Saccharomyces cerevisiae S288C: one gene and its partners. The gene in region 1 interacts genetically with each later gene. Each region holds a gene or a part of one and is shown on either strand. Other genes may lie near its edges.

Region 1 (6,335 bases):
GTTGCTGATATGTGTCGTCCCAGTACTCAACTCTTTCTGATGAGATTTTGAATATCTCATTTTATTTCTCATCAAACAGCCATGCATGCGACTGAAGTGGACTACTGCGGGAGAACACCGATCTTATCTTTGAAATTGTTGCACAAAAATATTTCACTACCTTGGCGTTTCTCATCTCACCCATTGGGGTGAATCTCGTTATTGCTCCTTATTTTGGTCCATTTTATATTAAATCCTGTATCATGTTTAACATTTTTCATCTTATACCTCATACAAAAAAGAAAAGCTATTTATGAAAGTTAGTTCATTACAAGATGCAAGCCTAAAATATATGCTTGATCTTAAAATTCATGTATAGAAGAAAAAGACCTTACCAACGTTGTTGGTTACCGTGTATAACTAATACCAATCTTGAACATTAACCACTCCTGGCGTGTGGGAGGATGTTCTTAGACTTAATTAAGAATCTCTAAATTTTTTTTTATTTAATCGTCCCTTTCTATCAATTATGAGTTTATATATTTTTATAATTTCATCTAACCTCAGAAATAGTGTTGTATATATCATTGTCCGTAATATCATCGTGAAAACCAGTGTCCTCGTTAATTATTGTCTGAATTAGCCATTCTTTAGATTCAGTGTGAAATATGTAATTAAATTTCTTAAATTTCAGTGATATTTGACTTCTCAATCTTTCGAGAAGCTTCATCTGAGATTTACCATTATTTTCGTTAGCATATATGAGAAACTTTAACTTTCGATTAGATAATTCTGATCCTATTCTGGGTACTAAAGAATCTAAGGCATTTAACAATGGCTCTGTATCATCTACATCAATATTGGGTAAATCAATTGTAAGCATTCTACCTGCGCTCAAACATGCAAAAGCAAATTTGACAAAACTGTCCAACTCAGATCTACCCCAAACAATAACAATGTAGTCATTTAACATTTTCTTCACTCCACATATCTGATCTCTTAAATTAGATCCGCGTAAGAATTGTGTATAAAATGAAAAAATATTGTTGGATTTAATGATTCCTCCCTTTGATGGAGAATCTAACGATAACCGAAAACTTTCACCCGAAGGTAATAGGTATTGGTATATTAAATGTGGTACTATTCTTTTCTTTTCAATGCATGCACTTATGAATTTCCAGTGTAGTGTAGGCCACCCCAACGCCAAAGTTTCTAAGTACTTTAAGCTTCTTAAATGCCGTTTTGTGATTAGGCAAGCAAATCTGCAGTCTGCAAATAGGGAATGAGGTTTCCAGGCTAGCTTCAAGGCCAATTCTCGAATATTATCTGTATTACCTTTATTGACTAAAGATTTAGCTAGCGGATGAGTGAAGTTAAATAAAGTGGAAAATCCTGACTCAATTACAGTGCCGCCTTGCGATTCAATGGTCTGTCGAAGTTCCTCTCTATTTTCGAATAGGCTTGTCAAAACAAAAATACATTTATCAAATACATTCCCTGTTCTGATTTCACCAGAAGAAAAAAGCAGGCTTGGCGCTCCTGCATGTTCAGCTAATGCGTCTCTAGAATCCTTTTTAACAATTTCCTTCTTTTCGGAGCTCGATTCTATTTCGTTATTGTACACTTCAGTATGCGTATTTATGTCCTTTTCGTCATCAGTATGTTTCTTCGGAGACAGAACATTGGTCATTGATTTCCTTCCCCTAATGGGATGTCTCAAGTACCTATACGCGTCGCCTTTATTTTTCTCATTATCTTCTAATATGATCTTCGCTCTTTTAGCCCACTCGCTTAGGTCAAGACTGATCGAGCTTAGTGCTTTAATTAACGTCCTTTTCCCCAACAATCCGCTTGCATTTTTTTTTTTCAAATGAACCGTATCATATCCTCGAATACATCTTATTATGTTGAGATCATGGCTACGACATTCTAGACCAACGACTACGTACTCATTTCCATCAAAGGTAACAGCATCCCCTATTCTAATATCTAAGTAGTAGATGTCCTCATCTTTGGTTAGCGATCTTCCTGTTTCGAAATAAATCCAACAGCCATCTTGATTAGTGTCAACTTCCAATAAAATACCCGGATAAAATTTGTAATTCCACGTATACTGACACCATACCGCATTTCCAAAAATTATGTCGTCTTTCGATAAGAAACTATTATCTGCCGTTCTAATACCTTCAGGAAACACGTAAGACTGTTCTTTAGAGTCTTTGCCCGAACCTGTCTCCCCTGTTTGTATGGTAATGCTGCAAGACGGTTCCCTTTTGATAGAAGCAGCATCCAAATCTGAATTTCTTTTGAGGTGTTTTGTCGGTGATGTCTTAGTGCTTCTGTTCTCCTCCTCTTCACCGATCTCTATTGTATCTTTTTGACGTCGCTTTATTGTTCTTCGGTTCTGAATAATCTCCTGTGACTCACTTGGAAATAATTGCATGAGGTTTTTCTGAAGTTCTGAGCTCTGTCCTTTGCTTTCGTGTTCAATCAAAGCTACATCCAAAGACTCTGTGCCATCTTGTTTATCTGAATTGCATTCTTTATTATCATCATGAAGCTGAAGTGAGTTCCCCTTGCTTTTTTTTATCTCCATTAAAGTTTCTTCCTCGACTACCAGCTTTTTTGGAGACGTTTGAAGATCTTGCTGCTCTTCAACTTCAGGCAGTTCTTGGGTTAGTTCAACCTCGCTCATGATTGTACTTTCCTTTTTCGTATCAAGCTCATTTGGGGACATACGTTCTGTTTCATCACTTCCTGAATCAGATATTTGCTTTCCTGAAAGTTGTAAGTATATTCTATCGGTTATTTCCTTTTGTTCGTTGAAATCAGATGAACCGGCTATGATAATGTCATCTCTGGTAGCTGCATTTGAAGAATTTTGTATATCGTTTGAAAAAACATTGTTTGTCTCTACTTCTCTCTCGTGTATATTAAATGTATCTTTTTCCTTCGGAATAGGTGAAGAATTCGAGGGTTTTGACATCGTATTCTTAGATGGTGAACTAGTCTCAGGAACTTCCAATATGGGTTCAAAATTAATCCGAGAAAGAGTAACGGGAGTTTCAAAGGTTGCATTCAAAGCATTTTGTTCAGGAGAATTTATTATTTGGGTTTTTATTTCTTCTGTCTGGCCAGTAGAATGAAAAACAGGTCCCTTCTGAGCAGATATGCCTTGGGAAAGCGATGAAACAATTATCTGTGTCTCTAATTCATTATTTGTTTCGGTATTGAAACTTTTAGATAAGGGTTGCGTATCGATTGAAATACTATCTAAAGGCATTTCCTGTGTTCTTGGATTATTGACTATTTGCGTAGATCTATTGCTATTATTTTCCGTTTTGTCTTTTGAGTATCGGAATATCCACTTCTTGGATGGTTCCCGATTGTTTACACTCTCACTGGAATACATTTCTTCTTCCGCATTGTTGCGTGAAGGGGTGCCAGACACAGCACTATTAATATCGATATCTAAATTGTTCACGTCATTCTCTCTACCCGAAACATTCAGATTCTTTTCCAATTCGTTAATCTCCTCTGATTCATTACTTTGTATTATTTGATTGTTCCGTTCTCTGAGATCATCTGATGAATAGTTCTCACTTTTCTTTTTTACTGGATTTTTTTCCTCGATAGCTCCTATGTTATCTTCGTTATTGTTAAAAACCTTGTTTACATTTCTTGTGGTCCGGCCATTCCCGGTAATTTTGTTCTTGTCATAAGAGCTTATCGAATTAGGTGATTCTGCTGATATCATGATTTGAGTTTTTTGAACTCGTTCATCTTGCATTCCTCCACTTTTACTTAATTCGTCTTTATATCTTTTAGGTGTAACAATTCCTTCCAATGCACAGTCATAATTATCAGCAGAACGTTCAGCCATCTGTACAAAAGTGGCATCCGCCTCTGTAACTTCTAATGACGCATTTTCTTCTCCATCATTCTGCTCTCCATAATAGCAAAACCCAGTATCTGACTTCAACTTTTTGAAGGTTTTCTGTTCCAATGGATCAGTTGGAGTTTGAAAAGTCATTTTTTTTCTTAACATCAGAGGAGTGTCTTCCAGATCGGAGCTTTGATATTTGGTCAAAAGATTTTCTTTACCAGGGGTTCGATTGCTTTTGAAAAAGTTAGCAATTCGGTCAAGGTCAGGAGTCCTTTCATTATGCAATATGTTAGCATTTGGTCGATCATTATCTCCTACTTCAATATTTAACTCATCATCATGTCTTGGACTCTCGTCAAGTAATCCCAGAGATTTTTGAAATATCTCACTTGTATTCATAAACTTGACAGGATTTGGATTTGCTTTGGGACTTCCTTCGATTATGTTTGTGCTATTTACCTTGTTTTCCAACGGATCAACGGGAACATTCATTTCGTTCATGTCGCCATCAGCCAAGGGAGAATGCAGTGCTTCCTTTATAGCGCTTTGGGTGACTCGATCTGGAGAGCTTTTCCATTGAACTAACTGGCCTGACATAGCCCTGATGTTGAAGATTTTCTCACTATGCTCTTTTCTATGGCGTTTCTCTATCTTGCTCACTTCACATTGCTCATCGTTGCAAATATCCACGAACAAAAATCCTCGCGTGTTTAATCAGAACTGCACTCTGAAAATTCAAAGCCGTGCCAGTAATAAGAAAGACACAAGGTTATATAGAGACACATCGAGAAAGTATATTATAGATTAAAAAAATTTTGCCTTATACTTTAGTGCACTTGAAAAAGCAATAAAATTTTATTTCATATGTATCTAACGCTAACAAGGCCGTATATTTATTTAGACCTTATTTTGATGGGGAGCTGCCAACATTTTCTCCAATAAATCAATCTTCCTTTGATAGTCTTCAATAATTCTGTTTTTTTCGTCTATTTCTTTGTGTATTTGATAAGCATTTTCATCGTTTGTATCTGGATTCCCAAGTGTTCTACTTGCACTATTTCTTCTGGTGGAAACATTGCTGACACTTCCCCTTGAGGTTTCGTCGATATAGCTATAGTTTGGAATATCATAGTTGTTTTTCTTCTCAGTTAACACTTTAGCCCTATAATTTTCATACAATACGTTGTTTGTTACATCTTTTAATTCCTGAAGGTGAGAACCTAACAGTATTGCTTTTAAGTATATAAAATCGGAGGTGTTTTGGTCTTCGACCACCAAGCTACCCCATTCGTACGTTCTGATATGCTCAACCCTATTTTCCGAATTTTTATTAAAAGTTTTGCTGCAAACAATGGCAAATGGCGATATTTCCTTGATCTTCGTGTCATTATCGTATTTGGATTTTGCTGAACTGGAATCGATGTCCATATCGTACAGAGCTAATGTTTCGCCTAGGGTGTCACTTTTAAAATCAAAAACACGTATATTGTTCTGAGAGATTTCTTGGCGCACAATGTCTTTGTGTAAATTTAATTCAGTTTCTGTGAGACCATCGGCTTTTGGAATAATGGGAATTAAATTAACTTTATCACAAATCGTTTTCATTAACTCAATATCAAATTTTTTGACTCCTCTTGGAGTACTCTTCAGAAAGTATAAACAAACATGAGGCCTCCCATCAGTTTCTTTTGTGTTTCTCTTTATTCTGACCTCTTCTTTTAAAACATTTGCAAACTGTTGGTCTAAGTAGTTTTTTATAACAACAGAGCTTTGTGAATTGTCGACATTGTCACCGCAGCCTGGAAACAATATGATATCTAATGTTATGGGTACGCCTAGTTCATCGTTCAAATACACTCTTCTGGTGACAAGCTTCAGCCCAGGACTCAAATGGGCTGTTTTATATCCAGGATCTATATCTTCGATGGCGTTTCCATTTTCTGGTGTTACATTATTTGTCACTTTATCATCATCATCATCATAATCCCCATCAGAAAGCGATATATCCTGACCGCACAGATTGTTTAAAAACGTTGATTTGCCGCTGCCTTTTTCTCCAAGTAACAAAATTGACAACTGCAGTCCTTTCTTGTAACCCTTGCGACGTCTTAACTCATCTCTGCTGAGAGTATGTTGTTCAAGAGCTGAGTGATCTTTCATTGGGAACATTTGATTATTTACTGACTTTATGTACGTATAGTAGCTCTTTTTTTGTATCGATTTATAAAAATGCCTGTTCTTACTATTCTTATGGGAATGACACAAAATGTAGACGCATGTCTTTTTCAGGCGTCCTTAATATGAGCGATCAAATTTCGCATCAAAAAAACTTTATTGAAGTTAGAATATATGAAAAAAAGCCACGAAATTTCTAAAGGCAACCACAAATTGTCTTATTATTGATAGAATATAAAAAATAAGTCATTTATTTATATGTACATCTGTGCAAATGGTAGCGGCGCTCTTTAAC
Region 2 (5,997 bases), on another chromosome or scaffold:
TTGTATGGGTTCGTACTCTCCATTTTCAAACCTCTTATTGATAGTTGTCAAAACTAATTTATCTTCATTACGTATCAAACCTTCAGAGTTACTTCTATTTTTAATGAATTTACAATATGATTCATATATCTTATCCGGATTTTTCTCAAAGAACTTGGCTGGAAAACTTTCATCTACTACATGACATTTCACAGAGGCAGCATTCAAAATGGATTGAACATTTACCAAAAAATCTACTAGTTTATTTCCACCTACACTTTCTGTCATAATGAAAACTTTCGATTTTCAAAATTATCTCTTATTTGATCCCGACTGATGATGATTTTCTTCGTCTTCGTATTTCTATCGTCCATGCCTTATGGCGCTGTTTTATTTTCTTAATTGTTTTTTTAATAATTGCAACTTAAAAATACGGGTAACGGAAAAGGAAGATAATAGAAGTTGCATGAAGTAGCTGAAGAATAATTAGTTCTTTCGGGTTGAAAATAATAATAAATAAAGTCTTTATATATGAGTATGTGGTATGACTATTCAAACAGCATCTGGATTTCTTCAATTCTCCTTTTTCTTCTCTCGTCTTCGTCTGTGTCCATGGCCTCACCGATGGTTCTCTTCTTTTCTTGAATGCGTAGCATTTTTTCTTCTATGCTATCTTGTATGATAAATCTCATAACTTTGACGCTGTTTGTCTGGCCAATTCTATGCAGTCTATCGATTGCCTGATCTTCCATACTGGGCGACCACCATGGGTCCATCATATAAGCGTGGGAAGCACACGTTAGATTCAAACCCACGCCACCAGCCTTCAGCGAGAGTAATAGGATTTTTTGCCTGCTATAGTCTTTAACGGCAAAATCTGCTAATACACTAGTTCTTTCTTTTAATGAGAGACGTCCATCGAATTTATAAATTTTTGCAACATCTTTTGAGAAAGTATGAGTTAGCTCTTTCTCCAGGATATCCAAGTATGTAGAAAATTGGGAAAAAATGACAACTTGTTCGCCTGCCGAACTATCCTGTAGCAATTGAAGCTCCTTCAATAAAGCAGTGATTTTGCTTGATTTGGAGGCTGGTGAATATGGTTTGAATTCCAAATTTTTCGAGTTGCTATTCGTTTGTACCAATGCCAACAACCGACAAGCGTCTATTTGGTTACGGCAATTGGGGCACTTTAAACCCAAATTCTTACTGTTCTGAAACTCAATATATTCAAATAAACATTTCTCACAAAAACTGTGGCCGCATTCTGTAAATAAAGCCTTGTCCAAATCCATAGGTTCCGTTGTGCAGATGGAGCACTCTAAGGACTGAAACGATTTATTGTCTGGATATTTAACTTTTAATCTTTGTATCATTGCATCTAATTCCTCCTTAGAAAATGAGTTATCGAATCTCTCGGAAACAACACGCATTAAAGAGTCAAGCTCCACCGTTTGTTCCGTAACCAATTTATTATTTTTAGATAAATCCTCATCGTTCTCATCTTGACTCCCAATAAGACCGGGATGGCAACAGACTTGCCTCAATCTTAAAATATGGACAAGGATAGTGGAGTACTTTTTCAATAAATCACCGCGTGCAATACCCGATTTAACAGAAACTTCAGCCTTATCCAACAGAAACTTGTATAGAAGATCTTGAGATTTACTGAAGGGAAGTCTTTTAATAACGACCTCCTTTGGTGGCAACTCTACTAATGGCTTACCATCTTTATCTTTCATTTGTTTTGTCCTTCTTAACAATACGGGTTCCAGAATTGCATTCACCACATCAAATGCTTGTTTGTAATTTTTACTCTCAAAAGGCGTTGATACAAAGGTCTTCCAGTAATTAATTTGCCGCCAGGGATCTAACTCTAAAAACTTAACCAGACTGTATAAATCGTCAAGCCTGTTAATAATTGGTGTTCCTGTTAAAACCCATTTACATTTGCCTTGTAAAGCCATGACTGCTTTAGATGTAACTGTCGTTCTGTTTCTAATGTTATGACCCTCGTCGATTATTATGCGATAAAAATTGACAGAAAATAAGCCTGAAGATATATTGACGTCCTCATCTGTCATCCTTCCCTTGGAATGTTTAGTCCATTCATTTTGAACAATACCATATGTAGTAAGGACTACAGTTGGAGGGGTTTTTGTCTTGGTTAATAGGGTTTTCAAACTGGAAACATTCCCACCATAATACACCTCATGATACATATCGGGGGAATTATTAGCTTTTGTAAACTCGTTACTCCACTGCGTTAACAAAGACATTGGGACCACGATTAGCGTTGTTTTTGAAGCATATGGTTTCTTATTATCTTGCCAAGTGCTTGGAAGATTATCTGAGACTGCTGTGTTCTCAATATCAAACAGTTTCTTGTCAACAACATCACTATCGTGAGGACAAGATAAAACTAAAGAATACGCTGCCACTGTTTTACCCAACCCCATTTCATCTGATAATATGCCACCCTTTATCATAGTTTTTAATATAGGTTTTGCTAGCGAAAATTCACCAGAATGTAAGTTCGCATAAAAGAATATGCCATCTTCAACGTTTACATGGTCCTGCTGCAAATTTTGAGCTGCCCACGACATATCATTTGGCCATTTGAACTGCTTCCATAATGGGTTTATCATATTAGCACCCGTTTCTGAAGCCTCACCATCAGAGGCTGCTTTGGCAAACTCTTGCTCCCTCCTTAGCATCCAAGTAAGACCTTGCTTTTGATAATTTCTTAGTTCTAGCTTGAAGACATCGCGAGAAGGTTCTGTTTCAGGCAAACTTTTTAAAGATTCTGATGATTGTGCGGCCTTATAAAATGTTTTCAATTGATTCAAGTTCATTGTTTCTTCTTCGTGCTGAGTATCTCGGAGATTGTTATGGACTTCAGTCACTTGATTAGAGCAAATCTCGTCGTTATCTAAATCAATGATTTCGGGGTCACTATTAAGCTCTATTTTATGCTTTTCTAATGCCTTCTGCTCGTCCAAAATAGGCTTTAGCCTCAATTTATCAAATAACTTTAGTAGAGCCAGTCTTTTCGAGCGGCTTTCTAGCTCTTCATCAGTTTCAGTCAATGTTCTTCCAAAATTTCCATTGTCTTTCTCTCTTTTATTTCCTCCCTCTGTACGTCTTCTTTTCATCAAGGATTCTCCATCATTACGTTCCTCAAAAATGAGAGATGTTAAAAAGCAATCCAATTGTAGAATAAAGCTATCACCTATACTCAACCGTTTATTATCACAAAAAATCAATGTAACTTCAAAACTTATTTCGTGTGAACTTAAAAGAGGGTATAGTATTTGAGCAATGTCTTCCGAAACTCTGCCAATTTCTCTATCATATTGGATATCAAAAATTCTTACCAAACTAGCCATGGACGCTTTCTTTCTACCACGTGAGTCATATACTTTAGTAGCAGAAATCTCTTCACTTGATCTCTTTAGCTTCATCTGAGAGCCGTACTTCAAGGGCCTGACGGTGGGTCTGGTAGCCATACCAGTGACTTGCAAAGCACCTATAAATCTTTTCCAAGTAACTTTATCTTCTAATCGTGTTTGGTTTCTGAACCCGTATATTCTTCTTCTTTTAGGATGGAATGAAGATGGGGACAAGGTTGAATTTGAGGTATCTGAGAGTGTATTTAGTTGATTCGGGGAAGACGGTATTTTGCTGATAGACGTCCCGCTATTGTGATCAAAGTAATGTGATAATGCTAAAGAGAGCCCTTCCTCCTGACTGCCGAATTTTTCATTAAGTTCCATCACAAGATCCTTTGGCATTTCTGGAATAATCCTTAAAAGCTCTGTAATAAACTGATTCTGGCCTTCTTCTTCTATTTCTCGCCTGACTGGCACAATAGATCGGTCTCCCTCTCCTTCTGTTGTATCACTCACTGATACAACAACATCATCATCATCATCATTATGACTATTTGCAAATAAAAACGACTCTTTATTCTCAGATTTGAAGTTTAACGATGTTTCTGAAGTGTCAAGGTCATCGTTAAAAAACCTCTTCCTTTCTTCCTGTTCAATATGACTCATATTGTGATACTGTAAGACTTTAGGTGTGTTTCTAAGGCCTTTTGATAATGTAACTTTGTAGATAATTTACTTTCAAGTGAGCAATGCGCTTAGCAGTAAGGAATAATGTGTGGAAAAGTTAAGGGTTTATGACGCGTAAAATTTTCAGCCAGACGACGCGCCAACTAACATGTAAGAAAGTAATAATTTATGAAAATTTAACTACTTATTGATTACTTAATCTTCTAATACAAGTATTTTTTGTTTCTAGAATAGAATTCAATCTATTTATCCGTGCAGAAAGGTCCAGAATGAGGGGTTTTACTTCATTTTGATTTACAAAGCCTTGCTCTTCTGCAGTTAATCTTTTGGATTTCTCTCTGATTATCTCAGAAAGAAACTCTATTATCACTGAACTTTTCTTTCTTCTCTCATTTTCCAACATCAGAAAAAGCAATTCGTTGTCAGTGTCCTGCGATAAAGTTCTTAACTTTTTCTCCAGGTCTTGTCTTCTTTTGATGGACTCTCGTACCCGAAAGCAAAGATTATTTAGTTTGGCTAATTGAAAATTTCTTTCTTTAATAGCAGCTAGCTCGCCTCCTTGGATTAACTCTGATGCAGATTCAAATTTAGATTCAAAGCTCTTTTCCAAAAACTGTAAAGTGTTCCATTTATCCCTTAAGGGATCATCATGCTTTTCAAATTCAAAGGCATCTAGAACATCAGAAACCTTAGTACCATGAAAGTCGATATTGGGATAAGAAGTTCTCGTATTTAAGACCGGCATAATAGGAGTTACTGGAACTGATGTGTTTACAGATGTAAAACCATCTGTTTCACTCAACTTCTTTTCAAGTTTGTTAATATTATTCTTAGCTTCAGCCTTCCTATGCTTATTTAGTATGTTTTCGAGGCGTATAATCTCAGTGATTAATCTGTTTTGTTCCCTTTGAAGATTTTTTTTTTTTCCTTCATCGAAGCTACCTTTATATTTTGGGCTGCTGAGTCAAACCGTTCTTCGCCAGATTGCAAATCCTCTCTTTCAGTCAAATTACCACACGTACTAATCTCTAAAGGGCTATGTTCATCTTCACCCGGTTTTAACGAAACGAAGCTGTCAGAAGAGCGTTTGTTTTCCGCCAAAGAAGTGTTTTTAAATGAAGAAAGCTCAGAATTGATATTGCCCTGCTCCAACACTTGTATAGGGGGGGTCTCTTCAAAGGAGAACAGGCCATACCTTTTGGAATCTCCTTCAGGACTCTTTTCATGTTCACTAGTCAGGTTTTCTCGGACATTCTGCTCGTTAAGATTATCAACTTCACCCAGGAGGCCTTCTCCCCGGTTACGTGCCTCCGATTTTACGTCACCGATTGACTTTATGCTATTCTTTCGAGACAATGGCCTCTTTTTAAAGAAAGTACTCACTCTCTTGATTAACCCAACAGAATTTTGACACTCTTCATTTGGATGTTCCTCAAAACTTAATCTCTGTTGAGCCACATTTCCTGAATATCTTTGAGTTGAGTACTCTTTATTTTGCCAACAATCATGGATAACCGGATGCTGCGGCAAGTCCATGTCCCGAAAAGTATTAGCTACCAACGTCATCTCGACATGGGGAGCGGGCTTTGTGATCATTTGTTTTGGAATCGAATAATGGATAATCCTTTTTGGAATGATCGGTGTCTCTTGAACATACTCCATAATTTGTTCACCTTCCATCTCATATATTACATATAAGGCCACACACAGACACAAGCTGAAACGAAAATATCTATAAATATACACTTCTTAATTTGTATTCAAGATATTCTTATCAAAGCACTTATTTTTTCATTATATTTCTATATTGATTTAAGGACGGTACGCTATTTTCTTTGTACCTTTTACTATGCATAAAAAAAGGGGAAGTGTTTAACAATCGACACTTACTTAATATGTTTTGCCGCCCTTCATAAGAGGGTGTTTCTAAAATTTATTG
Region 3 (7,060 bases), on another chromosome or scaffold:
TGCTGAATCTAACAACAAAATTGCTGCAGAGTACGAGCGTATCGTACCTCAAGTGCTTGATTTGGTACTGTTGGGCTGTGGTCCTGATGGACACACTTGTTCCTTATTCCCTGGAGAAACACATAGGTACTTGCTGAACGAAACAACCAAAAGAGTTGCTTGGTGCCACGATTCTCCCAAGCCTCCAAGTGACAGAATCACCTTCACTCTGCCTGTGTTGAAAGACGCCAAAGCCCTGTGTTTTGTGGCTGAGGGCAGTTCCAAACAAAATATAATGCATGAGATCTTTGACTTGAAAAACGATCAATTGCCAACCGCATTGGTTAACAAATTATTTGGTGAAAAAACATCCTGGTTCGTTAATGAGGAAGCTTTTGGAAAAGTTCAAACGAAAACTTTTTAGAAAAGACACACATGCGAGCTTTCGAACCTCAGATGCTAATATTACGTGTTATATATACCAAACTTTATAAAATGACATAGATATTTTATGCTGTGATAGCTTTCCTGTTATGGAGAAGCTCTTCTTATTCCCCCTGTCAACTTTCATACTCTTGTAGAATTTCCTTTATGATAGGTTTATCGCTTACGAATTTAGACTTTGATGTGATGGGTTTGGCACCTGTTCTTTTTCCACAACCTTTGCGTGCCTCATCAATAGCGTTTGATCTGTCGGGAAATTTGTATTTGTAGAGTGCATCCTTGCACATTGTATAGACCCAATTACGCTCTTCTAACAGGTTCACGAACGATTTTATTTCAGGAACAGAGCCGATTGTACTTTTTGAACCTATAATGATCAGCTTGGATTTGGCCCTTGTCATGGCAACATTGACTCTTCTTAGCTCTTTCAGCAGCGCTCCTCCATTTAATTGAGAATTTCTTCTAACCATGGAAATAATAATGCACTTTTTGTCACGACCTTGAAACTGATCAGCAGTCAAGATCTCTAGCCCGTCATACACATTTTTGTTGAATATCTTCTTCAGTAATCTTAACTGTGCTCTGTATAACGTCATTACACCAATATCTTCGCATGGTACGCCGCTCAATAACATTCCTTCCACACATTGTAGAGTCAATTCTGCCTCCCCGTGATTCGTAATGTTATCCTTTTCGCTTTGTTCGATAATATCCGGGCAGTTATCGTAATTTAAAAATACCACTTTTCTTGTAGGCTCTAGTATATCCTCAAGCCACTGCTTAGAGTTAGCCGATTCATTCCTATAGCGCGACAAGGCCTCAGGCATTGGTAACTCTAAAGATTGAGCAAAAACTTCGTTATTCCCGCATTTTAATTTATTATCATAAATTAGGAAATTAGACAAAGTTACAATATCGCCGCACATACGGTACTGTAAAGTCAGTTCTGCAACGCTTTCCGGATGCTTTTCACAGAAAGTCTTGAACAGTGACTCTTCTAACCCACCTAATCGAGCTGCGTCATTTTTAACTAATGGCGGTAGCTGGTAATGATCTCCTACCATAATAAACCTATTTCCATACCGCAGAGGTCCCAAAGCGACAGGCATTGAAATTTGACTTGCCTCGTCCAAAATCACATAATCAAAATCCTTTTCATTTAGTGTAAATAGTATATCGTTAATTCCTAAGCAGGTGGTAGCAACAACAGAGGTGCTGTTAATTTTGGACAAATAATCGTTATAACTTTTCACTGACGCGTAATTCGGGACATATTTTTGCGTGTCAGGATGGACCTTATGTTTCATTCCCAATCTCATTATGCTAATGTTGGTGTTCCTCAATTTTATTAAAATATTATCCACTGCTGAATGTGTGTATGATGTCAAAAGCACGCGTTTCCCCTCGGAAACGAGAATTTTAATAATTTCTGCGATAACAGTAGTCTTACCAGTCCCTGGCATTCCCAATATCAATGCATAATCTTCGGCCCTCATTACTTTGTCTATTGCTTCTTTTTGATTCAAGTTCAATGTTGTATCCTTTGAAAGCTTATACGGAATGACGGGATCATCATTTGCATCTCTAAACTTAGGTGCTCTATTATCAACTAAAAGTGATCGCAGTATTTCATTACCTCCATCAGATCTCTTTGTCTTCCGACATAATTTACTCCTTTCGTCAACAATATCCACGCCAGGTGAAACAGCTGGTAAAAACAAGCTTAAAAGATTAAATCGCGCTAAAGACAAACTCTGTTGGATATCATTTTTGTCGATTCTATATGTGACCAAATTTTGGGTAGCTATGAGACTGGATTGTTCTAGCTCTGATTCGACCACACTTTGGATGGTAGTGACTCCTTTTTCCTTATCTAGAAGCCTATTGTTTAATAACTTTCGTTTTACGGAGATACCAATTTTAGCGGGATTTATAAATTGTACACGACCTTGGCACAAGCAAAAATGACCCTCCTCATCACTAATAATAACAAAGTCATTAGCAGCAATTTGAGATGATAACATCGACTGCGAGTTATTATCATTTCTACGTCTTGAGAAGCAATATATATACGCTCCCTCTGTTTTTTCATGTTCAACCACCTCTGACACAACCAAGCCAGAAAGGCACCTTCCACTTCTGGATTCTCTTGTGGAACCATCCAATAAGAAAAGTTCTTTATTTACACATGTTATACTTGACTCCTCCTTAGTTATTAGATCATTATATTTTGTAAAAAACTCTTTGTAGTTGGCGAGATTTTGCGACAAATGGTTTGTCAAAATTTCAAACTCACCTTCTACCAGGCCACTTTCTTCTGGTGTCCCGTCCTCTAGTAGCTTATTCAACACCATGCATGATTCTTTGATGAAACATGAATCACAAGATGAATCGCGCAGTAAGGGTGGTAATTCAAACCTTGATTGAGCCTGTCCGAAAACCTCTTGGAGTTGATGCTTAAAATTCATACTCATTCTATTTCGGGACATGAGAATATGTTTAATGGAGTGCAGAACAGAAGGGAACTTTGTCATATTTTTATCCCTCGTAAAATAAAGAAGAAAAAACTCTATCGGTATCTCATAGCGATCATTTAACAGAAGTGTATAAATAAGGCCTTGAACCTCGTATGAAACGCTTCTGGATTTTCCAGTTTTCACTTCTAAAGGAACGATGTGTTTTTTATTGTTTTCAACATTAGCTTCAACAGTTGCATCTAGGAACCCTTTAAGACCATATATTGGAGACCAAATGTTTTCTTCAATATCAATCACATTGGATATAGAAATTGGCTGTGTTCTTCTTGTTCCGGAAATTGATGTGTAGCAACCATAGTTACTTTTCGAAACAAATTTATTGACGAAGTACAAAATGTTTTCAGCATGTTCTTTCATAACTAATTCTTTAACGTACTGGATTTCTTCATTACAAATGATAATTGAAAAAGAATAAGTTTCTAACAAAGAATCCAGCTTTTGTATTATGATTTCCATAGAAATTTTATTATGCGAGAGCTTGTATTTGATTGAGTCTTGCAATAACTCGTGTACGATATTGCCTAAAGTCATGACAAGGCTTGGTTCTCCGCGGGGATCTTGAAATTGCATTTGCAGAATTGAACGTCTTAAACAACCTACTGAACTTCCGACTGATGTTGCCGAAAATAATACATCAGGGTTTAGCACCAACAGGTTGTCGTTAGCCAGTTGAGTTTTAGGGTTTTTGTCGTCAGAAAGAAGCCGTTTGTTTTCAATATTTTTCCCTTCTATAATATGTATTACATCCCCAACCTCAAATTCCAAATATACCCAAGGATGTCGAACGACAACAGAACTTTGTTCGCCTTTGCCGTCTATACACTCTAGTATTTTTTGCGTTCCAATTTTTGGCAATTCAACACTACGTAAGCTTACTATTACTAATCGTACTACGCCGTCTCTTGGAGCACCAGACTTAGCTCTGAGAGCATATGCGGATAAAGTGGAATCAGTAGCAATTCTCAAATCGTCAGAGACCATTTTCTCCACTTTGTCTAAATCTTGTTCAATAGTGTTAGGTTCCACTTGTGTTTGAGTTTCGTTCAATAGTTCAATTAGTGAATCGTCTGAAAATTCGTCTGAAGAATTGTATTCTATTTTTTCATTTTTTTTAATTCTTTGGCAATTACTGTCTTCTTCATTCTCATAAAATGCATTGCCTGTTTTGGCTTGATTGTCTACATTTTCATGATCTTCAATTTCTCCTCTCGATTTTGTGTTATCATTCTTCCCACAACTTTCCTGGGCTCCACTTTTTTGATTGGTGTTGCCTTGAATTGTTATCTGACTCTCACTCTTGCGTTTCTCAACATACTTTTGAGTTAAAATATCTATCAAAGAGTCATCGCCATCGTTGCTATCTCCTGTTGAATCCATTTTATCTACTTCTTCTGCATTCACCTCTGCTTTTTTTTCAACGTTGGGTGCCTTGATGGGTGAAGATGGCAAATCGCTGAATTTCGTTATCGTCGGTTTTATAGTTAAATCGCCCTCTATATCATCGAGAATATCATCTATATTACGGAGAGACTCCCTGGTAGATATTTCTGCTGGTTTAGGACGCACTTGCTCATTTCCATTTTCTTGAATGAGTTGATTTACGTCAGCGTTGGGTACTTGGATATTTGTGAAACTAAGAACAGTTTTCAGTCGATTAGGGACTATAGGTGTAGAAGAGGGATTTTGGACATCTTCGTAGTCATCAGAGTATTCGGCAGCGCTTGTTGTTTTGTCGGACATATCTCGTTGTAAAGGTGAATATTTCCATATTACTTCTTCCATGGGGCCGTCCTCGTCTTGAGTGAAATCGTGATGCCTACTCAAATTAGACATTTCCCGTTTCGGTTTAACTTGTGAATTTGGTAATTGCTTTACGCTCTTGCTAACTGCTTTGTTTATATCTTTTGTTCTTGATGTATTTCGTACTTGTGAAACGGCTATTGACTTTAGGACACTTGCATTGGATACCTTGGTGTTCTTCCCATTTAAGTTATTTATAGGAGCAAAAGCATACTTTTTTTTCCTCTTAGTTTGCTTAGATAATATCGCCTTTGAATCATTTTGTATTATTTCTTTTTCCTCTGTCTTCTTCGCAGGTGAAACAGATATACTCGCAGACCTCTTGTTCTTCTGTGGCGTTCCGGGCATCCTGACGATCTCTTCAATTGTCAGTGTTTGCTTGCACAAAATGAGTACTCACTTGAGTATGTTTTCTCCCAATTTTGTTTTGAGGCTGCCGTAATGATTGTAACTTTATCTTCAAAAATGTAACACAAGTTTTGCCATAAATAGCGTAAGATCAGTTAAATATATATAAGTTCTTTCTGCCGCACGGAATTGCTTTATTGCGCGAAATGAAAACAAGAATATCCAATTTCTATATGAAGGACATAATGGAATGGGAGTGACAACGGACCATTTTCTGTCCGAACGATGTCTATCTCCTTTGGTTACTTTTTGAAATAGAATCACAGTCAATGACCAATTTTCACATACTTATAGCTTTTCATAGTGCGGAAAGCGTAGCTTTGAAGTAGTTCCGAAATTATAATACATCATCGTGTGGTAGGTAGCAACTACGACGGGCATAAAAAATGCGTTGAATATTATACATACAAACTTATACTTACATATATATCTATGAAATAACAGATTCCAGTTTATTGGGGAATATATTCAGCTAAATACATCGATTTGTTCGGCCTCTAACTCTTCGTCCCCCGCCAATTCGCTAAACTGTAAAAAGTGTACTGGACGATGCATCTCATTATAGAATTCCAAAGGAATGCCGTATTTAAAATTGTAGTCACCTTCTTGGTTAAATGCTGTTCCCATAAATGTGTAGTTCCAAACGTTTCCAGATGGAATTATAAAATTACCTGTGATACGGTCAGAGAGAAGTAATTGGGCATGCGTGCTGAAAGTAGGCTCAAACCCTTCCGATAGCACGTTCATTATATCCTTATTTTCTTCACCCCATTGGTAACCTTCGTCGGTCAGGTTATAAGCGCTTAATGATACTGATCCCGGGGTGGAAAAAATTGAAATATCAATGCAGTCTCTTTTCTTATCCGCAAAAAGTTTAGAATGAGTTGCTACTTCAGACGCAGCCATGAATTTAAGTTCTTCTGTCTGGGTATGGATCCAACCGAGTAGTTCAAGGCCTTCAGTATCCGGAAGGTCTCCGATGTCAGGGATGTTGCTTATCTGAACGGATCCTACGTGGCCTAATTGAGGTACCAGCACAACAGTCTTGATTTCTTTCACCTTCGGATGATCTTTTGCTGACATACCATAAATAAAGGCCGCCACCTGGATTTTCACATCGGATATCTCAATAAACTTCTTTAATAAATTTTTTGGAAGGACGTAAACATTCTGTTCCTCCACGAAATCATCAGCCGAAACATAAATGTTTTTTAACCTCAAATATAATAGTGTATTAGCAATTGCAGATTTTCTCCATTCATTCTTTGAACTAAACGTTTGACTTTCGTAATCAGCGGAAGCTACTACAACTATCTCCTCACCTTGCGCATTGATAGTTTTAGTTTTCATAACAGTTGATGCACCTGCAGCTTCTTCGTCGTTCTGCTTTTCTGACCTGGCAGCTTCTAATTCAGCCATTTTTTGTCTCTTCACAGATGGTGCCTTGATATTTTGACCCAATATAATATCTTTAATTTCCGTTTGAGTTAAGGCAGATATATTGACATTGTATTTTCTGCCGTACTCAGTCAAAATCAAATCTCTCATTTGAGATTCGATAGTGATCCATTGTTCATCAGTGAATGAAGGCCATAAATGGTACGATTTGATAGTGATCGTGGGGTCACTGAGTAGAATCATTTTGGCACTTTCCTCGTTCGTCTTTAAAGCTCTTAAAAGTAGTGTAAGTCTAGAAAATGCAGTGTACGATGAAATACGGTCTAACCAATCATCATAAATGTTAAACAGAACCATCTGAGGTTCAGTAGCTTTCATCACAACATCAGAAAGTTTATCTATTGACATTGCAGCTGAAAATGGTAGTCGCAGCTCTGTTGGCCTGATTGCTATGTTAGGAAAGTCAAGCATGTGAACCTCTAAAGGATCAAGCA
Region 4 (5,844 bases), on another chromosome or scaffold:
CAAAAGAAGAAGTTACTCCAAGATTTGGATGATTTAGAAGAGCAATTTAGAGAAGAAAGCGCAATTGATCAGACTGAATTTGAAAACGCTGAGTCTAATGTAAAACAAAATATATCCTCGAAGAGGGCATCTTCTGGAGACGAGAACTCTAAGAAGGATAATAATGAAAAAACTTTAAAGACAAACTTGACGATAGGCGACAAAACCCAAGAACAAATAGGGGAAAATAGTCCTAGTAGCGGATTGCATGCGTCTTCAAGCAATGATGACAATTTCGATGATGCCCAGGAACAGCAATAAATTATATAATATTTAATTTTATGTGTCCTAATGGACATTTGAGTTCCTTAAGATGTTCAACAACTTAGAAAAATATAGGTAATGATAAAGAATGAATCGCATGTATTGTTTTAATATTATGTCAATACTTTGAACTTAAAAACAGAGTAAAGAAGTGGTTCTAAAATTACACGTATTAAAGGGATTAATTACTACATATTCATTCTCAATCATCACTATCACCTTGGCTCAAAACAACTCTAGACTTTTTGCCAAAAAGGCGGATGGCCTCTTCATCTTCATCGCTTTCATCGGCTGCACTCGCTTCCAAAGAACGCTTTGTAGATTCTTTTCTGCTATACACCTCAGATTGGAACATATTTTGCGAATTTGATGGCTGTGATGAGCCCAAACTATTTCTTGATTCCGAGTTGACATCGTCATCAGAGAGTTGATTATTATTGTTATTATTTACATCGAAAATAGACATTTCAGATGCCACGTGGCTTGCTAAAGAAATGAGGCTTTTATCTGGCGCAAAGGAACTACTTTCTGTAGCTCTTATGCTTTCAATACTTGGTATGGATCCACCAAACAAGCTCGTATAATCTCCTGTCACAACACCCCCATTATTCATCCTTTCCGCGGCAAATTTGGCAAACTGGATATATCTATCCTCGGTCAACTGACCATTGTTTTTATCTAGTAACCATCTCATATATGTTTCGTTTTCAAAAAATATAGGGTTCATCAAATCCTCGTCATCTTCTGAATCACTAATAAACTCTTTACTGAATACGCCATGGCGTTCTCTAACGGTCTGAGGTCGTTCATCATCCTGGTCGCCAAACATTGGCAAATTAGTCTTGGCTTCTCCTTTCCTACGCTTCCTCTTATCTTTTTTTTTGGATCTCGCAATCCCTTTACTGAATTTGGTACCTTTAAGTTTATCTGATGCATTGTTATCTAAATCCTTGAAGTATGCTGCGTCGCTTTTCGATAAAATTTGATCATCTGGAACAATGTAGGGATCGTTGTAATCATAATCATCGTCTCCTTCCCATCCATCTTGTTCATTGTGAGAAAAACTATCCTTTTCTGAACGAACTCGTAGAAGATAGGAAGAAGAAGGCAGTCCGTTTGGAGTTTCAAATGGTGTTGATAAGTATTTTTTCACTAGTTCACAAGAAACAGTCAGGTCAGAAACTTCAACAGTCCCCGGTAAAAAACAAGGTTCATTGATTTTACGTGGAATGGAGTATCCTATCAGCAACAATAAAGCCCTGTAGTCCTTATCTTTAAAAATAGGGTCGTTGTTGAGTACACCTGTCAATGTGAAATATTCATTGGGTGGATTAACTGTTTCTTTCCCAGCATTAACATTTACGGTTAGCCACGACTTAAAAATATCTAGTGTGTGGGTTATATGCTTGAGCAGTTGGTCCAATAGTTCAGTTTTTCCATCATCAAGTAATGTGGAAACTAAAACACCATATTTCATATCCAACAAAATCGAAGGTGGTAAGGCTTCTTCATCGGGAATTGGTTTGAACTGTGATGCAGGAGCGGCATACATTGATTCATTATTAAGTACATTATATTCACCATATCTTTGGTAAAATCCTACTTCACTATTGTGTAATGGCGGGAAAAGTAATCCAACAAACCAAGCAGGTGATTTCTTTAACCTTTTCTTCAACCTGGCGAGGAAGTAGTCTGAAAATTGACTCACATATTTCCTTGAACGAGACATTCTATCTAATCCGTCAGGTGAAAGCATTTCTCTTAATAATATTATCAAATCAAATCTAAATAACAATGCCTGTTCTTTTGCCTGAACAAATACTCTATGGAAAAAGGAAAATACTTTTTTAATGGAATCGTCCTCAAGCTCACGAAATCTTTCAAGGAAATTAATGTACGTTTCTATTACCGGTTCTGTCATATAGTTGGCTTGCACCTTTTGAAAATTGACTTCTATACTTCTTAAAGAAGAGGTTAGAATATCAAGCGCTTCATCTCTATCTACATTTTCTTCTTCTATCAATTTAGTAATATCACCTTCTGAAATATTAAACTTTTTTTGCCGTCTTGATTTGCCTTCAATAACTAATGTTTTATCGTCAGAGTATTGCTCTAATACTTTCAATACCGAGTGTGTTAGTTCAATGCAACTTTTCATGAATTGGAGGGAGTATTTGGAACCAATCTTCGGCAGATTTGACAGTAATTGTATTCTCTCGTCACTGAAAAGCCTACTTACAATGAATTCTATATCGGTCGAATCCTCTTCTTGAGCGGCCTTTGTACGGGAAACGAGGTTCAACAGTTCATTAAATGCAATCATACCAGCATGTGTCACTGTCCAATTTTTCAGGTCATATGCGCTTCTTAAAAGAGAAGACACTAGAATGAAAGTCACCTCTTTCAAGGCTTCTGAAACTTGCTTTATATCTGCGGAATTGTCGATTTTGGACCTCAACAACTGGTATTTAACAAACCATGCAAAGAAAAGTAAATATTCGACTTGCTCCAAAGTTACCATCCTATCCTGCTCAGTTGTGAAGTAGTTCGTCACACTATGCAACAAGATGTTAAAGCCGGAATCTATAAAGTTGTTGATGAATTCTTTGAAATGTTTACCATTTGATTCGGTGAAAAAAATAGCTTTACCGGTTTGTGAATTCAAGAGACTATTCGGTAAGCCCTCAGCTGCGACAGATTGATGCTTTTTAATTATTCTTTTATTCCATTTTTTGCTGTCATCTAGTTTTTGGAGCGCTATTTTTTCATCTACGAGAGCTTGGCTACCAGAAACAGTTAACCTAGTTTTATCTGGTGTTTGTATAGATAAAAGACCACCAAATCTGGAGTGTCTTGCAGATGTATGCTTGATAACGTTTTTTCTCATTTGGTGTTCCTTTTGTAATAACTTCGATAGTTCAAAACCTGCACTTGTAACAATGTTATTAGCAGAGGAGCTCTCATTTTTATTTACCACCTTTGAATGTGTCCCGGTTTCGAACTGTCGAGGGAATAGCAGTTCTTGGTTAACATCTTTAGTGAAGTAGAACATAATCTCCAACAGTGGGATATTGATAAAGTCCTGGTCAAACTCTTTTGATAAGGAGCTGGTCAGCGTTAAGAGGAAACCGAATACCTTGTTTTTATGGAATGAGGAAATAACCGTATTTAAAGAGATGTCATCCATAGAGACGTTTGGTGGCAAAGTATCGATAGATGTGATACCTTTCTTAGGCATGCTTTTCTTAGTATTGATAGTAAATTCACCGGGTTCTATAGCAATGACATTTCTGAAAAAATTCAAAACCAATTTGAGAACCATATTGTCCCTAGGAGTTCTTGATAATCGGTCGATTTTGATAACATCCAGAGCCAATCTAATGGCAGCTCTTAACACTTTACCACTTTCCATAGACAGAATCGTTTTCTTGTATACCAATTGATGCTTCTTTAGCTCACCATAGAGAGTAATTTGATTTGATGAAGACTGTTCAGTTACAATTAAAGGCCAAGTCATAAGGACCAATAGTTGTAGACAATTTAGCGCAATTTTATCGTAATAAGCTTTGTTTCTAAACTCTTCATGGTCTGGGTTGTTCTTTGCAAGCTTTGCTGCAAGAGAACATTTGTTTTCCCAATCTATCAGAATAGGTAACAGATCATCCGTCAAGATGCGATATTCAGCTACTGCCATTGCCACATCCCATCTTTTCTGCTGGTCATCCACTAGTTTAAACCATCTTTTCAGATCTTTTAAGCACGCCAAACAGTCATCGCCAAGCTTATAAGGGGGTGGGTCTATCTGGGAAGTATAATCCGGCCCACCGATGGCAGTTGCCAATAAAGCAATTCTTGCTCTAAGTACCGTCAGAGAGAAATCAGCCGCATTTGTAGTGCCTTGTTGCAAATCAGCAGACATAGTGTGCGCCCTCCTATATTAAAGATACACTAAACCCCACAAGCTAGATGGTATTATCATATGTGAGGCGACTTACGAACCATATCTCATTTGAAAAATCCTTAATACTCATTTTAATTTTTCATCGTAAACGCGTAATGCGGCAGTAAACGCGTCAAAGTAGCATAATGGAAGGGCCATTTCCACAGGGAAGCAATTCATACAGGGCACTACCCAGTTGTGATAGTAACACAGAACAGCTTCCTAAAGCAAACGGTAGGGATGCCTATATACAGGACAACTACTGGTTATTTCGCTGACTTGATATGAGAAGTGGCAGTGAAAACCAGCGTTATGAACGGTGAAACCGAGCGGGGATGGATGAAAAGTACGTATAACTCTGTATACACCTCACTTGGCTTCATAATGTGGTTCCGCCATCTGATTGCGTTGCTGTGGTCTTCAGAATTCCTGAAGGACGACGCAATTAGCTCTAGAGCTTCTCCAGGCATTTATTACGTAGGACCGAGAGCGGACTTAAAATCTGCAAAAGTCTTGGCAGGGGGCGGGGATAACAAGGCAATCTTATCCCATTTTTCACTAATCTCGAGCATATAAAAAGTAAATTCTATTGGCCTTGTTGTTACGTTAGGGAAATCCTTCTACATGATTATTGCTCTACAATACCGAAGTATTAACAATACATAAACGAGCAAGAAGAGGAGAAGAGAATATGAGTAAGAAACCAATTGTTTTGAAATTAGGAAAGGATGCCTTTGGTGACCAAGCCTGGGGGGAATTGGAAAAGATTGCGGATGTAATTACCATCCCTGAATCCACCACTAGAGAACAGTTTTTGCGGGAGGTAAAAGACCCACAAAATAAGCTCTCCCAAGTACAAGTCATTACTAGAACAGCAAGGAGTGTGAAAAACACCGGTAGATTTGATGAAGAGCTTGCTCTTGCTTTGCCCTCCTCCGTAGTGGCTGTATGTCATACTGGTGCTGGTTATGACCAAATTGATGTTGAGCCATTCAAGAAAAGGCACATCCAGGTTGCCAATGTTCCTGATTTAGTTAGCAATGCTACCGCTGATACGCATGTATTTTTGCTATTGGGTGCCCTAAGAAACTTCGGTATTGGTAACAGAAGGTTGATCGAGGGAAACTGGCCGGAGGCAGGACCCGCATGTGGTTCTCCCTTTGGATACGACCCTGAAGGGAAAACAGTTGGTATACTGGGTCTAGGTAGGATTGGTCGTTGTATTTTAGAGAGATTGAAGCCGTTTGGGTTCGAGAATTTCATATATCATAACAGACACCAGCTTCCTTCCGAAGAAGAGCATGGTTGTGAATATGTAGGATTCGAGGAGTTTTTGAAGCGTTCTGATATAGTATCTGTAAACGTCCCACTGAACCACAATACTCACCATCTAATCAATGCAGAGACTATTGAAAAAATGAAAGATGGTGTAGTTATTGTTAACACAGCGCGTGGTGCCGTGATAGACGAACAAGCCATGACTGATGCTTTGCGTTCTGGAAAGATTAGAAGTGCTGGTTTGGACGTTTTCGAATATGAGCCAAAAATATCCAAAGAGTTATTATCGATGTCCCAAGTCTTAGGACTGCCTCATATGGGCA

What was found.
Region 2: mutations in RAD9 (region 1) and RAD5 impair growth when combined (synthetic growth defect), as found in Saccharomyces cerevisiae (10 studies listed by BioGRID, with this or other methods).
Region 3: of RAD9 (region 1) and DNA2, a mutation in one rescues a mutant of the other (synthetic rescue), as found in Saccharomyces cerevisiae (6 studies listed by BioGRID, with this or other methods).
Region 4: mutations in RAD9 (region 1) and TOF1 together harm fitness more than expected from each alone (negative genetic interaction), as found in Saccharomyces cerevisiae (12 studies listed by BioGRID, with this or other methods).

What each region holds. Positions count from the first base shown.
Region 1 is NC_001136.10:899,019-905,353, forward strand, and holds RAD9 (chromatin-binding protein RAD9), read right to left. Parts: upstream 4,463-6,335; coding exon 533-4,462; downstream 1-532. Other genes in the region: septin SPR28, read right to left, coding at 4,763-6,034. UniProt on the Saccharomyces cerevisiae protein: Essential for cell cycle arrest at the G2 stage following DNA damage by X-irradiation or inactivation of DNA ligase.
Region 2 is NC_001144.5:203,031-209,027, reverse strand, and holds RAD5 (DNA helicase RAD5), read right to left. Parts: upstream 4,038-5,997; coding exon 528-4,037; downstream 1-527. Other genes in the region: RSC58 (Rsc58p), read right to left, coding at 1-267; YLR031W (uncharacterized protein), read right to left, coding at 4,243-4,803; YLR030W (uncharacterized protein), read right to left, coding at 4,947-5,738. UniProt on the Saccharomyces cerevisiae protein: Probable helicase, member of the UBC2/RAD6 epistasis group. Functions with the DNA repair protein RAD18 in error-free postreplication DNA repair.
Region 3 is NC_001140.6:424,071-431,130, forward strand, and holds DNA2 (bifunctional ATP-dependent DNA helicase/ssDNA endodeoxyribonuclease DNA2), read right to left. Parts: upstream 5,109-7,060; coding exon 540-5,108; downstream 1-539. Other genes in the region: 6-phosphogluconolactonase SOL3, read left to right, coding at 1-403; U4/U6-U5 snRNP complex subunit PRP8, read right to left, coding at 5,637-7,060. UniProt on the Saccharomyces cerevisiae protein: Key enzyme involved in DNA replication and DNA repair.
Region 4 is NC_001146.8:121,261-127,104, reverse strand, and holds TOF1 (Tof1p), read right to left. Parts: upstream 4,223-5,844; coding exon 506-4,222; downstream 1-505. Other genes in the region: guanine nucleotide exchange factor SEC2, read left to right, coding at 1-300; GOR1 (glyoxylate reductase), read left to right, coding at 4,935-5,844. UniProt on the Saccharomyces cerevisiae protein: Forms a fork protection complex (FPC) with CSM3 and which is required for chromosome segregation during meiosis and DNA damage repair. FPC coordinates leading and lagging strand synthesis and moves with the replication fork.